Coturnix japonica: one gene and its partners. The main gene of each other region encodes a partner of the protein of the gene in region 2 in a complex. Links are inferred from orthologs where the notes say so. Each region holds a gene or a part of one and is shown on either strand. Other genes may lie near its edges.

The links. Proteins that work in one complex are often made in the same cells at the same time.
Region 1: the proteins of NAA20 (region 2) and NAA25 are in contact, whole or in part, in a cryo-EM structure (PDB 7STX), measured with the Homo sapiens proteins. The link is inferred for Coturnix japonica from reciprocal best matches to the Homo sapiens genes NAA20 and NAA25. Residues at the interface, in NP_057184.1 of Homo sapiens: Thr2, Thr3, Leu4, Arg5, Thr8, Cys9, Asp10, Leu12, Phe13, Phe15, Asn16, Asn19, Leu20, Pro22, Leu23, Thr26, Tyr27, Gly28, Ile29, Pro30, Leu33, Gln34, Leu36, Ala37, His38, Pro40, Glu41, Pro49, Glu52, Met54; in NP_079229.2 of Homo sapiens: Ser226, Glu227, Ile228, Asn259, Asp261, Asp262, Trp263, Gln264, Arg318, Arg321, Leu325, Lys362, Pro363, Cys364, Thr367, Asp368, Val371, Leu457, Thr459, Glu460, Leu461, Ser504, Ala506, Leu510, Leu532, Asp533, Lys535, His536, Ile537, Gln538.
Region 3: the proteins of NAA20 (region 2) and SNCA are in contact, whole or in part, in a cryo-EM structure (PDB 7STX), measured with the Homo sapiens proteins. The link is inferred for Coturnix japonica from reciprocal best matches to the Homo sapiens genes NAA20 and SNCA. Residues at the interface, in NP_057184.1 of Homo sapiens: Leu23, Thr24, Glu25, Tyr27, His73, Val74, Thr75, Ala76, Leu77, Ser78, Leu110, Phe111, Tyr137, Tyr138, Ser139, Ala140; in NP_000336.1 of Homo sapiens: Met1, Asp2, Val3, Phe4.

What each region holds. Positions count from the first base shown.
Region 1 is NC_029530.1:5,452,084-5,456,358, forward strand, and holds the start of NAA25 (N-alpha-acetyltransferase 25, NatB auxiliary subunit), read right to left. Parts: upstream 2,804-4,275; 5' UTR 2,750-2,803; coding exon 2,692-2,749; intron 230-2,691; coding exon 144-229; intron 1-143. Other genes in the region: TRAFD1 (TRAF-type zinc finger domain-containing protein 1), read left to right, coding at 3,807-3,850. UniProt on the Homo sapiens protein: Non-catalytic subunit of the NatB complex which catalyzes acetylation of the N-terminal methionine residues of peptides beginning with Met-Asp, Met-Glu, Met-Asn and Met-Gln. May play a role in normal cell-cycle progression.
Region 2 is NW_015439649.1:44,830-49,053, forward strand, and holds the start of NAA20 (N-alpha-acetyltransferase 20), read right to left. Parts: upstream 2,806-4,224; 5' UTR 2,732-2,805; coding exon 2,679-2,731; intron 2,200-2,678; coding exon 2,175-2,199; intron 2,090-2,174; coding exon 1,999-2,089; intron 1,490-1,998; coding exon 1,354-1,489; intron 724-1,353; coding exon 578-723; intron 1-577. UniProt on the Homo sapiens protein: Catalytic subunit of the NatB complex which catalyzes acetylation of the N-terminal methionine residues of peptides beginning with Met-Asp, Met-Glu, Met-Asn and Met-Gln. Proteins with cell cycle functions are overrepresented in the pool of NatB substrates.
Region 3 is NC_029519.1:31,290,064-31,294,197, forward strand, and holds the start of SNCA (alpha-synuclein), read right to left. Parts: upstream 2,804-4,134; 5' UTR 2,636-2,803; intron 2,373-2,635; exon of another isoform or gene 2,352-2,372; intron 1,193-2,351; 5' UTR 1,168-1,192; coding exon 1,047-1,167; intron 1-1,046. UniProt on the Homo sapiens protein: Neuronal protein that plays several roles in synaptic activity such as regulation of synaptic vesicle trafficking and subsequent neurotransmitter release.

The DNA of each region.
Region 1 (4,275 bases), on a different chromosome or scaffold from region 2:
TTGCATGGATCAGAATAGTCAGATGTTCCAGAGTGCTCTGAACACACCGTGGTCTCTGGAAGATCAGACCACACAGAGCACAGCAGAGCACTGCAAGTCTCCGACGATGCTCCACCACCAAGTCAGTGAACGACCCCACTTACCTTTGCACAGTGAAGATCCTTGTGTTTTTTGAGCAGTTTATCTGCCTGCTGGATCGCCATTTTATTATTGCCATTATCAAGGTAATCTGCGTAAGAAGAACACACACAGCATTAAAACAGAACACAAAACCATTCTAGAAAGCTACCTCTAATTTCACCGAGGGCTACGCGCTGTTAGGGCAGCAGTGCAAAATGCATTTTTCCTGTGCAATTATTCCTAAACCAAACAGTCAGGAAATGTGTCACTTTGTAGACTAAGCATTCATCTTGCTGTACCAGTTCTTGTCATCCAAACAAACAAGCTTCTGTAATTACTCCACAAAGGTCATCACACCAACAAAAGAGCTGTATGACAGAGCGCTTCTGCAGCAACAGCCCTTCACTAGAAACTGAGATTTCACTCTTTGCTTCAGGAAAAGTAAGAATTAATTGGGTGTGCTGTTGGGACATTTCCAATGACTTTTAATGGGCTGTTGGTCAGAAACAACATGCTTGCAATCTATCAAAGCATTAAGTGAGATGAATTACTTGTTCACTTGCTCTATACTAAGAGGCAGAACAAGACCATCCCCTAACAGAACACCACTGTGCCTTAACCAGAGCAGTTCTAAAGACAAAGAAGAGGAGATATCCTGACGTGCCAACAAGGGAAGGGTCTGCCTGCACCGTTCTGGCCTCTCCCCTAACAAATTACAAGCAGATCTAATGCTGGAATACTGCAATTACATTACACATCCTTTTCTCTTCAAGATCACAGCTCTCATTATGAGATAGAACTCTTAATGAGTCAAGAGGTGACCTTCAGTGATTCCTCGGTACGTTGTACAAAATGTGCATCTATACTAATGAGATTTATACTCTGCAGCTTTAACGTTTGTTTCCATCAGCCAAGTGGTGCAGATTTAAAGTCGAACTAATTGGACTCCTGAGACCACGCAGACAAAACCTCAAACCAGGCAGCCTGCCCCAACCAACCAAAACAAGATGTTGCTGTATCAGATATTCCGACCACCTCAACCTGTAACACGGCGCCTTTACACGAGTTACAGGTAACCTACAGGAACCTGTGCATCACCTTTAACCTTAAAGCTTCAGCACAGACTCATCAGTGAAGGGGTTTCAAATATTCTGCACACAACACCCCAGCGATCTCTCCACATACAGGCAGATGTTTCTTGGTTTAAGGATCCATGTTATAACTTCCACTTGCACACAAATTACCTGCCAGCCTGCACTGCCTGCCTTGGGGCTGTAACAGCAACTCACTGATAGCATCTCTGCTATAGGCCTGCTGAAGTAAATCAAATGAACCACAAGCCTCTCTAAACTGCACAATAAAAAGATTATATTTTGCAACAAGGAATAAGTTTGTTGGAAGCCAAAACATTTGGCAACTCCTAAAGAAATCTCAGCTACAGGAAAAAAAACATTTAGTTCTATGCTGGCTACAGGTCTGCAGGTGGTTATGTTCGATGGATGGAAGTGCAACATGTGAAGCTACAGGTGAAGGCAGAGAAATGAAGTCGAACAATAAAGACATCTGTCAATGAGCCCCAACTAATCAAGGCAGAAGGTGCGAAATGAAAGGCACTTTTTAGAGTAAAAGAGCAAACTTGAACCTCATTCTGCACATCTCCTGCCTGCAGCCTCTATGAAGCTGAGCTTCTACCTGGGTAAGGGGCAGCACCAAATTCTGACCTCATGGAGCAGAAGTAGCAGAAAGCACGTTTAGATCAACATCAGCAACAGCCGTACTCCAAAAGCAACGCAAGGAAACACGTATCACCTGGGTTAACATCTATTCAATCAGTTTCAGACTAGACATTACATAGTTTATAGCAAAAATTACTGGATGCTAATAAACGTGGTAATCACACCACGTTTACCAGGTGCACCCCAAGGCAGCGGCAGCTCCTTTACAGGGAGAGGAACAGAAAGGAAACGTGCCCGTTGTGTGAATTACGATCCATTTCACATTTTCAGAGCAGGAACGACACCGTAGCCCGGGGAATCGCATTTTTCTCTCTCTACTTGCAGACACACAGAAACTTGTTAACAATTTCTTAAGCAATCTCAGCTGCATGCAACATCCCTGGAAACGTTTTGGGGCAGCTCACCCCAGCGCTTTCCCAACACTCCCGCTCCTCTCAACTTGGTTCATAATCCAATTCATTTCCCTAACAAACTAATCAGTCCGTGCCGCTCCGCACGTAACTTTAAAGCATCCGCGACCGCTCGTTTGTTTTCGTTACTCGAACAAACCGACCCGTAACCCCAACTCCCCACGCAGGGACAGGCATGGGACCGAACGGCTCCGCTACGAAATCAAACGGGGAACGGCGACACCCGGCACGGAGCAGGGAGCCCCGGCACCGCGGGGCGGGAGGCCGCAGCGCCGGGCGGAAGGGGCGGCCTGGCGGCACACAGCGGGCCTGCTCGCTGCCCGCCACACAGCGCAGCCCCGTGTGTCCGCTCAGCTCCATGGGGCGGCGGCACGGCGAGACACGCCGGGCCGGGCCCGGCAGGGAAGGAGCCCCGCGCACCGTACCGTAAATGGGCCGCAGGCGCCGGTCGTTGGGGTCCTGCACATGGCCCCGCGCCGCCATGATGAGAGCGCACAACCGCACTGCGCAGCCGCAGGGCCGGGCCGAGCCGGGGGCGGGGGAAAGGGAGCAGCGCTCCGCCCAGCTGCGATGTGACATGGCTGCGGGGAGCCTTAGGGCGGGGATGGGGATAGTGCGGCGATAGTGATGGGTTTGGGGACGTGTTTGTATTCCTATAGCTCACAGATGGGCCAGAATGTGTTAGAGCTGAAGATACTGTGTTGTGTCTGAAGGTACCGTCCGGCTTCGTTTGCTTTATGTTCACCTCGACATCACCAACGTATAACGCTGACGGGTCAAACTGATTTTATTCTGTTCATAGAACGGTTTGAGTTGTTAAGGGCTCTTAAAGGCCTGCAGTGCTCAGGGACACCCACAGCTCCATCAGTGCTCACAGCCCCATCCCCTGACCATGGGTGCCTGCAGGGATGGGGCACCTCCACCTCTCTGTGCACCCTGTGCATCACTGCCCTCAGTGTAAGAAGGAAACACAACCAGACACAACTCGGCTCTCACATCACACCCCGGAGCCGCTGCCCGGTGACGTCTGCGCCGGCCAATCGGTGCCGAGGGGGCGGAGGGGCCGTTTGGCCGGTGAGCGGCACCCACCGCATCCAGTCAGCTGGCGGCGTGCCTCGGGGGCGGGCGCAAGGAGACCGGTAGGAAGCGCGGGGCCGGGCCCGGTACCGGTGGCTGAGTGCGGAGAGCGGGGCCGTTCTGGTGTTAACCCCTGCTGGGGCACTTGTATCGCGGCTGTTTCGTCTCCCTGTGTCGCTGCGGTAAGCAGGGCTTTCTTTGCTGTCTATACGAAGCGTGGCCTGTCCCGGCCCCAATCCACAGCCCGGAGCTGAGAGAAGGAGCCGTTGGCCGCCGCTGAAGCGCGGTGTCCCGGGGCGGATCGCTGAGTGTGAACGGCCGTACCGGGCAGTTCATTGGGGCAGCGCTCCGGGGCGGCTGCTGAGTGTACAGCCAGTGGGGGCGGCTCCGCAGAAGCTCGCAGCGAGCAGAAGCGAAACTGCCCGTGTAAGCATCGCTTTCGGTTCCCGGGAGGAACGCGGCCATGGCTGCAGTCATGGAGGAGCAGACCCAGCTGTGCGGTAACTGGTAAGGACCGGGATCTGGCGGTGGGGTGGGTGATAACATCGCTTTGGGGGGCTACAAAGTGTTAGAAGGCGTAATTCAACAGACAGCGCTCTCTAGAAACGTTTGGGTTTTTCTCTCCCCCCTATCCCCGCCCCCCAAGTATTAATGTGTTATAAAGCAGTTTTCCCAACCATTACTCGAGTTCCTAAGTTACCAGGCAGCCGAGCAGCTACCACGGCACTCCAGTAAATACAAACTCTTGATTTGCAGTGATGTAGACACTGAGGATGTGATTCAAAGCTGTTCTCGACACATGTTTTTAGGCGTTAAGGACATAAAAACAGTCAGTATGTACGTGTTGAGGAGGCAGTTGTGTCTCTTAGATAAGCTGTTTCTCTTTAGAAGTTCCAGCATTGGTCATGTGTTTACTGATAATGGCGTAGCTT
Region 2 (4,224 bases):
CAAAAACATCCAAAAATAGCAAACGACAGTTGCTTCAGTTTAGTTAACGGGGTACCCACAATATATTTGAAATGATCGTGTCCTCTACCCTTTGAATTGAAAAATCTCTGTCACTATTGTCTGTTAACTCCTGTCATGATTTAGTCAGGACATCTGGGACAATAACATTTCAAGTCCCTGTTACCAAGGGGGAGAGGGAGCCATAAAAGAGCAGGGCTATTATCTTCCCTAATAACATTAGGGATAGGCCTGGACGCTTTGCAGGAACATACTTTAACAAGAAGAATTAGGTAAGTAACTATGTTATTTAATCTTACCTATAAGGTATCTTTCCACTTGTTAACTGTCTCGAATTTAATTTACCACAGATGCTATAAGATCTGTGAACTGCAGGATTAAAACAATGTAAAGCTCAGCAGGAAACAAACCTGTCTACAGGAGTAAATAAATTTCCATTCAACAACAACCAACTACATTTTTTCACACTAAAAATCAAACAAAAAAAGCATAGAAACAACTCTTGGAACGCTCAGCATCAGAACCTTCCCATTCAACTTGAGGCAGAACAAGCACTTACCATAAGCATCTTCATCTGGCTCCCCATTGCTAGCAGAGTAGTACTCTAACACTGTCCGGTACACGCTGTAGCCCAGTTGCTTATACATATTTACTGCAACCTGATTGGATACTCTCACAAAGAGATCAACGAAAAATCCACCTTTTCTTTGAAAAAAAAGAATAAAACACGGTAAGGACGAGCAGGTGAACAAACCGCCAATTAAGAACTGCCAACCTGTATTCAGACCAAGAAACAGCCTGACGTGGCAGTGCACTCAGCAGACATCATTCACAACAGTAACAGATGTGCTCCTTGAACAAGGAACAAATCTGAAGTAATGGTGATGGTCAAATGACCGACAGTGACATCAGAATTACTAACAGGAAGAACAGGAGAAACTAAACACCCACACAAGCTTTATTTCTGTAAAGCATTCACTTTTTTTTAACACTATACTTCAGGTGCATTTCAGTTGCATTAACTTACGGACCAGCTACTTCAAAAAGCAAACAGGTGATGTTTTACGAAGCTCCCTTCCTACTAAGGGAAGGACATTTTATACAGCATCTTTGCTACTTCCTATTTGTGCTGGGAAGTTGGTTTTCATAGACATCAAAATATTTTAAGCTACCAAAGAACATCCATCATTCTGTTCCTGTCACTAAAGGAAATCAGGGCACTAGTTAATGGAGGATTCTGGGTGTGCTTCATGTTTATGATATACCTAAAGCAAGGGCAGGGACCTATAGGCAGAACAGTCAAAAAGATCAGTGTGAAACGAGTGTAATATTCACTTCTCTGAGATCTCCTCCAGCAGTTCCATCAGTTTGGCAGCCAGGCCCAGCCGCCGGAATTCCGGTGCCACGGAGAGCGCAGTGACGTGCCCGTGCCACTCCTCCCGAGCCACGGATCCTTCTGCTTTACCCATGACTGAAACACACACAGCGTCAGCACGGCAGCGCCTCCATCAGCACCGTCACACATCGGGGTGATAATAAACAGCTGCAACGACCGCGGCTGAACCGGGTGTATCTACATCGTTACGGTTCAGCCGCTCTGTGCGACTGCGGCTCACACGGCGCAGCTCCACCGGCACATGGACGCGTACCCGGCAGGGCGCACTGCTGGCCGGGTATGGAGCTCTGCTGGGACGGGCCCAGCACGACGCCTCCGCTGCCAACACTGCCCGACGGCAGCACCGATACCGACAGCACCGATACCGACAGCACCGATACCGACAGCACCGATACCGACAGCACCGATACCGGCAGCACCGATACACCGATACTGACAGCACCGATACCCTGACACTGACAGCACCGATACCGACAGCACCGATACCCTGACAATGACAGCACCGATACCGACAGCACCGATACCCTGACACTGACAGCACCGATACCGACAGCACCGACCCGGCCCACCCCGCCAGCACTCACTGTAACCCATGAGCTCCCCGCCCGGTGCCTCCGCCACGATGAAGTACTCGGGCCAGTGCGCCAGGTACTGCAGGTAGAAGGGGATGCCGTACTGCGAACCGCCGTTAAGGAGCACGACAGCGGCACGGCCGGCGCCCCCCCCCGCCTCCCCCCGTCCGGGCGCACGGGAAGGATACGGTCTCGGTCAGCGGGTCCAGGTTGCTGCGGGGAGAAAGCGGCGATCAGCGGCAGCACGGAACGACCGCCCGGGAACGGGGCTCAACGGGGTGTGTGTGTGTGTGTGTGTGTGTGTGTGTGTGTGTGCGCCAGCGGGGACGGGGCTCACACACGCGCTGTGTTACCGGGGCTCACACACACACACGCTGTGTTACCGGGGCTCACTCACACGCTGTGTTACCGGGGCTCACACACACTCTGTGTTACCGGGGCTCACTCACACACTGTGTTACCGGGGCTCACTCGCACGCTGTGTTACCGGGGCTCACTCACACGCTGTGTTACCGGGGCTCACACACACGCTGTGTTACCGGGGCTCACTCACACGCTGTGTTACCGGGGCTCACACACACGCTGTGTTACCGGGGCTCACACACACGCTGTGTTACCGGGNGGGCTCACACACACGCTGTGTTACCGGGGCTCACACACACGCTGTGTTACCGGGGCCGGGGCTCACTCACATGTTGTTGAAGCGGAACAGGTCGTCGCAGGTGAAAGCGCGGAGCGACGTCATGGCGGCCGCCGTGCTGATGGCGCTGCCCCGGAAGTGCTGGCGGCGCGAGGAGCCCTTCCGGGGCGGTGCCCTGCTGCCGCGGACTGGGAGCGGGGACAGAAGGAGCGCGGGCGGCAGCGGGCGGCAGCGGGCGGCAGCGGGCGGCAGCGGGCGGCAGCGGGCGGCAGCGGGCGGCAGCGGGCGGCAGCGGGCGGCAGCGGCGCCTCCGTCCGTCGGGGCGGTACCGGCGCAGCGGGCCGGGCCCGTCGGGCTGCGCTGCCACCCTCCCCTCACAATTACCGCGGGGATGCCGCCGCCCCGTGCCGGCCTGTCAGCACAGCCCCGCCCACAGCCGCGTCCCGCACCGGCACGGCCGCTGCCACAAGAGCCAATGTAAGCACCGCCATTGTAACCGCGTACAGTGCGCGCTGCCGGCTCCGCACACACTGTGCCGCCATGGCAGCACCTGCTGAGCGCAGGCACCGGTCACTTCACTCCGGAGCCCGGAGCCAGAAGCCAAGGGCAGCACAACACAGCGACACAGCCCGTACCAGCACTGCTCGGCCACAGCACAGCAACAACACACAGAACCGGGCGTACAGGATATTCCGTGTAAACAGATGAAGCATTTCAATTCCAAATGGTCAAAATGTTTGTAAGTTTTTATGCAAACATCAGTAACAAACAAGCACAGACACTTCTCCAAGGTTTCAAACGCCTGTTCTGGTAGATAACGCGTGTTCTCACAGCTCACTGCATCACAGAAACCTTAATGCTGGAAAAGACCTTCAAGACTATCTAAACCAACCGTCCACCAACCACCTGATACTGCCACTAAACCACATCCCTATGTACTTAGCCATCCACGTATAAATAAAATGGACAGTACCAATTGAGATGCATACCTCATTCTCAATTTATTTATAAAGAAGAAGTGTCAACACTAGAAAACACATTGATAACCAGTGGTTTGAACAGCGAAGGTGGGACCTAAAAAGGTCTGACTGAACTGAACAACCTTAGGTCATTATCAAATTGCTCATCTGCCAGGAATGCTGAAATGCAAGAGTTTACACCTGCAATATTCCATCAGAATACCCACATCAAATCAAATATAATCTCCAAACCAGTAAATAAAAAACATTAACACGAAACATCAGAAGACCACTGCGAGTTCTTATTGCTTTTTCAGTTAAATAATGCTCTTCGAGTAAACTGGAAACCAAACAGTCTCTACTGTAGTTTGCTCATCCTCCTGCTCATTTATTAACACTGGAAGCAATCAGTTATCATATGAGGTGGTAACAGAGGCATTAAAGAAAAATGCTGTTTAGGTACAAGAACATCCCTACCCTCCCTCCCCCACCCTCGCCCCAAAGCCCACAATAACCACTTAGTGCCAGTAGAGGAGCAAAACTTGATAGACAAAACCAGAAATGTGACTACAGTAAGAAGGAAAGGAAGAGATACAGCCTTCTTATATACTCAAAATCTGACATCTCCCAAAATGAAGC
Region 3 (4,134 bases), on a different chromosome or scaffold from region 2:
CAGCATCCATTACAGAATTGACTTGCTGCCAAATCATAAAAAAAGAACGAATCTACAGAAAAGAGTGTATTTTCCTTCCTATTCTACTACCATGCAACTGAAATTAACTTAAAAAAAATAAAATGGAATTCCTCCAGTTTAAATGACCTATTCATATGTTCTTGGCAGCTTTTTTCCTGTTCATTTTTCACTATGGCATTTATGAGACAGTACTTTAAGGCCTGGTAGTTTCTAAGTGAAGACGATGATTGTGTCGTCAACAGTCCAATGTGAGATTTGAAAAGAATCTTTCCCCGGGTTCCATGCAAAGTACTCGCATAGTCTGGGTAAGTCAACTAACATCTGCTTCCCACTTTCTCCACTGTCTCAGTGACCGTAAAGGTTCTTCTTTGAGTAGCCATGGAAAATAGCTGCTGAGGATATGCAATAGTAAGTATAGAACATTAGGTTAACTTTGAAAAACAAGGAGCTGACACCTCACCATTCAAAATGTTACTGCTGAGGACCTTTATTTAGTGAAGAAAGAAAACAAGCTCCTTTCTATGGGGTGTACAGTTATCTTCCTTCTACTCCAGGAAAAGACATTGGCACGTCTTAGATTCAGTTCCAGAACCAACATCTCAAGTTTTTTCTTTAAAAATCCTGCTTAAAACTCAGGCATTCTACAGGATTCTGTGAATTTACCTCCCATATAGCAAGCATCTTAAATAGGGCCAGTCAGTAACTTGCATTGTAAGGCCTCTTCCAACAGGCAAGTTTATCCTGTACAACATTACAAATGCAGCCCCATATGACCAGCACACACAGTGACAAGAACCAAAAAAAAATACATGACACACAACAAACAGCAATCAAACAAACAAGCAACAATCGTCAAAGACCCTATGCTCAGGAGAGTTCAAATCTCATCATGTTTACTTTGCAGTTAATCCTCTCCTATGAGTGATTACATATTTCAGAGAAGAGAGAGAATTCAGCTCTTTCTTTCAGATGAGCGGGGCTGTCAGGGTACACCAATCAGCAGCACAACCTCACTGCCCACCTACCCACATAGAGGACTCCCTCTTTCGTCTTTCCTGCTGCTTCTGCCACTCCCTGCTTGGTTTTTTCTGCTGCTGCTACAACCCCTTCCTTTGCCTTGTTAAGTCCCTTCATGAAGACATCCATGGCTGAAGGATTTCTTCACACAACACTAGAAAAAAAAAAAAACAATACCAAACACACTTTAAATAATGGTTCTCAGCTTTTTTTTTTTTTTTTTGCCAGAAAATTTTATTAAAACTGATTGCACATCAAAATACTTTTGAAATACATTATTTATACTCACATATTATATAACTTCCATCTACATCCGTATTAGCAATATACACATACCTCTCTGTATCTAGGATCGCTTTCAGTATTTCAGATAGACAAAAAACAGTTAAATAACTAGAAAACAAAGGAGCTCCATTACACAACTCACCTTTACATCTCACATGCTACCACAGAGCAAGTTCAAGTTAAGCAGTATGGCTAAGGTAGTCCCTGAAAGGCCCAGGAGTTCCCACAGAAACGTACAGAAAGGTCACTGATAACGCAGTTCTCATTTGAAGTTGCACTCACTGAAAGGAACAAATCCATTCCTTGCCTACCACCATCTCCTCCAAAGGACAGTTTCTTGTCTATTAACTACAAGATCTAATCCCATCATTCGCTGATGCTCCACCTTCTCATTCAAAGGAAAAACTTAAAAACTAACAACTTTACAAACGCTTCTTCTAAATGAGAAACGTTCGCTCATTGTTGTTTGAAGAACCACTAATGTTCCAGAAGGACTTGAGCAAACACAAAACTGCTTTCCAGCAACCCAGCATTTTGCATGCAGCCCATATTGCTCTGCCAGCACTTGAGCTTTCAAAAGGGATCCTGCACATGCATCAAGACTAAGGAGGAAAAAAAAAAAAAAGCAAAGGCAAGAACATGCTACACTAATAACACCACACTACAGCTAGCAAGTAGGTTCTGTGGCAGTTATACAGCCCTACGCTACAATTAGGCCACAAAGACAGTAATTAAAGCCAGCAAGACACCCCTTTCACAATCCCGTCGCCGACAGCCCCTTCCCTTTCTCCCCCTCCCCCTCCCAGAAGATGCACTGCCTGCTAGTTCTTTCCCTCCGCCGGAGGAAGGGATGTCTAGGAAGACAGTGGGGAGCTTGCTACTAACCCGTGGCAATCAGAAGGGCAGAATCCGTGCCCCACTGACACCGTAGGCAGCACCGAGAGCAGGTGTGGGAGCACCTGGGTGCAGAGCGAGGGAAGAAAGCAGTACATGGCTACGTGGCTCAGTCTAAATAAAAGAATGGGCACCTGTGGAGGAAGGAAGAAAGAACGCGCAGGGCTCTCCCACATGTATGTGTCTGTATCTATACGGACTATCCGAGGAGAAGGGCAGGGCTACGTGAGCACATAAGCACCCAGCGGCTCCCTCACACGGCAGCCGCGGCGCCCGCTGGTTTCCCCTCCCGTTCCCTTCCTCCTTCGTGCCCAAAGGAGAACACGTTGAGCGACAAATGCACCTGTCCGCACACCCACCCCTGCGGCTGCCCAGCCCCAGGGCGAGCAGAGCCTCTCATGCACTCCCCACCACCTACCGCTGGGTCCGCCGCTGCAGGAAGGCGGGGGGAGGCAGGGCAGGAGGAGGGCGAAGCGCAGAGAGACCTGATGGGAGCTGCCCCTTCTCAGCACATCGCCAACTCTCCCGACGGCAGCAAGGCAGGCAGCGAGTGTGAAGGAGAGGCAGGGTGCGGGGCGGGGGCGGTAGGAGGAGGGGCCGGGGGCGGTGGGGCGGCTCCCAGCCTCCATCCCCTTCTGGGTGGGAATGTGCTGCGGGTCGGGTATGCGTCGTGACGTGGGGGTGGGAGGTAAGGATAGGAAAGAAGAGGGGAGGCTGAGGTCCTGGTCATCTCGTGGCACCACCTGTCCGCTGTTCGCCCCGGCGGCTGAATCACAGCACTCAGAAGCAATGCGAGCAAGCTGTTGCTAGTGAATTCAGCACACCTGTTTCGCTTCACCCACGGCTCAGAAAACGCCCCCGAGCTCTTGGTTACTTATCTTCCTCTCGTAAGCCTTCAGGCCGGAGTGACTTGAGGTGAACGCTCTCAGGATTCACGCTCCCAGCTCATTTTTAAGGATGGCAGGTAATACTCTTGTAGGTAAAACAAGATCCTTAACCCCACAGCATAATATAATAAAATCTTTGTCTAAACAAGGATGAGAAGCCCAGCCTCACACCTGTTGGTCTCCATTGTACAGACCAGAGCCACTGCATTTCCCCTCTTGGTCTGTTACACTCAAGTCACTTTTCCCCAGAAAGGGAAGGCAATGTCACTTCTCTGCATTGCTGCAGAGCGTAGGCATGAAAAGCCAAATTCAGTGGAAAACAAGGTATTAGAACAGATGGACCTTCAGCATCAGTACATCAGTCAGCATGCTGTACAGATCCTGCAAAACCTTGCAAAAACAGTTTGTTCTGTCATTGCGCTCCAAAGGAGAAGCAGAGCTTGGTACAGATGAGACACAGGGATGTGAGCTGCACAAAGCACCTTCCATCCATCATACTGGGCAGACAGCAGACAGGTTCCTGCTTTTATTTCCATTCTGAGCACACAGTGCAGAGTTTTCTCTTTTTCAGGTTTCTTAATGTTTCTTTACCGCTTGGTAATCTTCCTTGGGATTCATTCCACTACTACATTTAACCAAGCAAACATTTGGTGAAATGTATTTTTTTGTGTGAGAAGGTGCTGACTGAGAACACAAACCATTCCTTCATAATTCTGCTCTCCAGAAAATCCTTAGCAAATGATCCAGCAATTGCACATCCTATTCATCATGAGCTACACTTTACTTGCAGTCAAGGTTGAAATTGCAGAAATAACACATTTTACATGAGCAACAATAACATCTCAAATTAATGACTTTGTCTGGCTAGATAGTCAGTGTTTGAGTGGAAAGCAGCTCTGTCCCCCTGGGACCTTAAGTAAATCCATACTCTGAAAAGCAACAGCTCAAGTGGTACGGAAGCCAACACAGCAGCAGTGCATTTCTACTCAGAGACAATAGATGAGTAGGTGATCAGAGACTTCAGATGAGG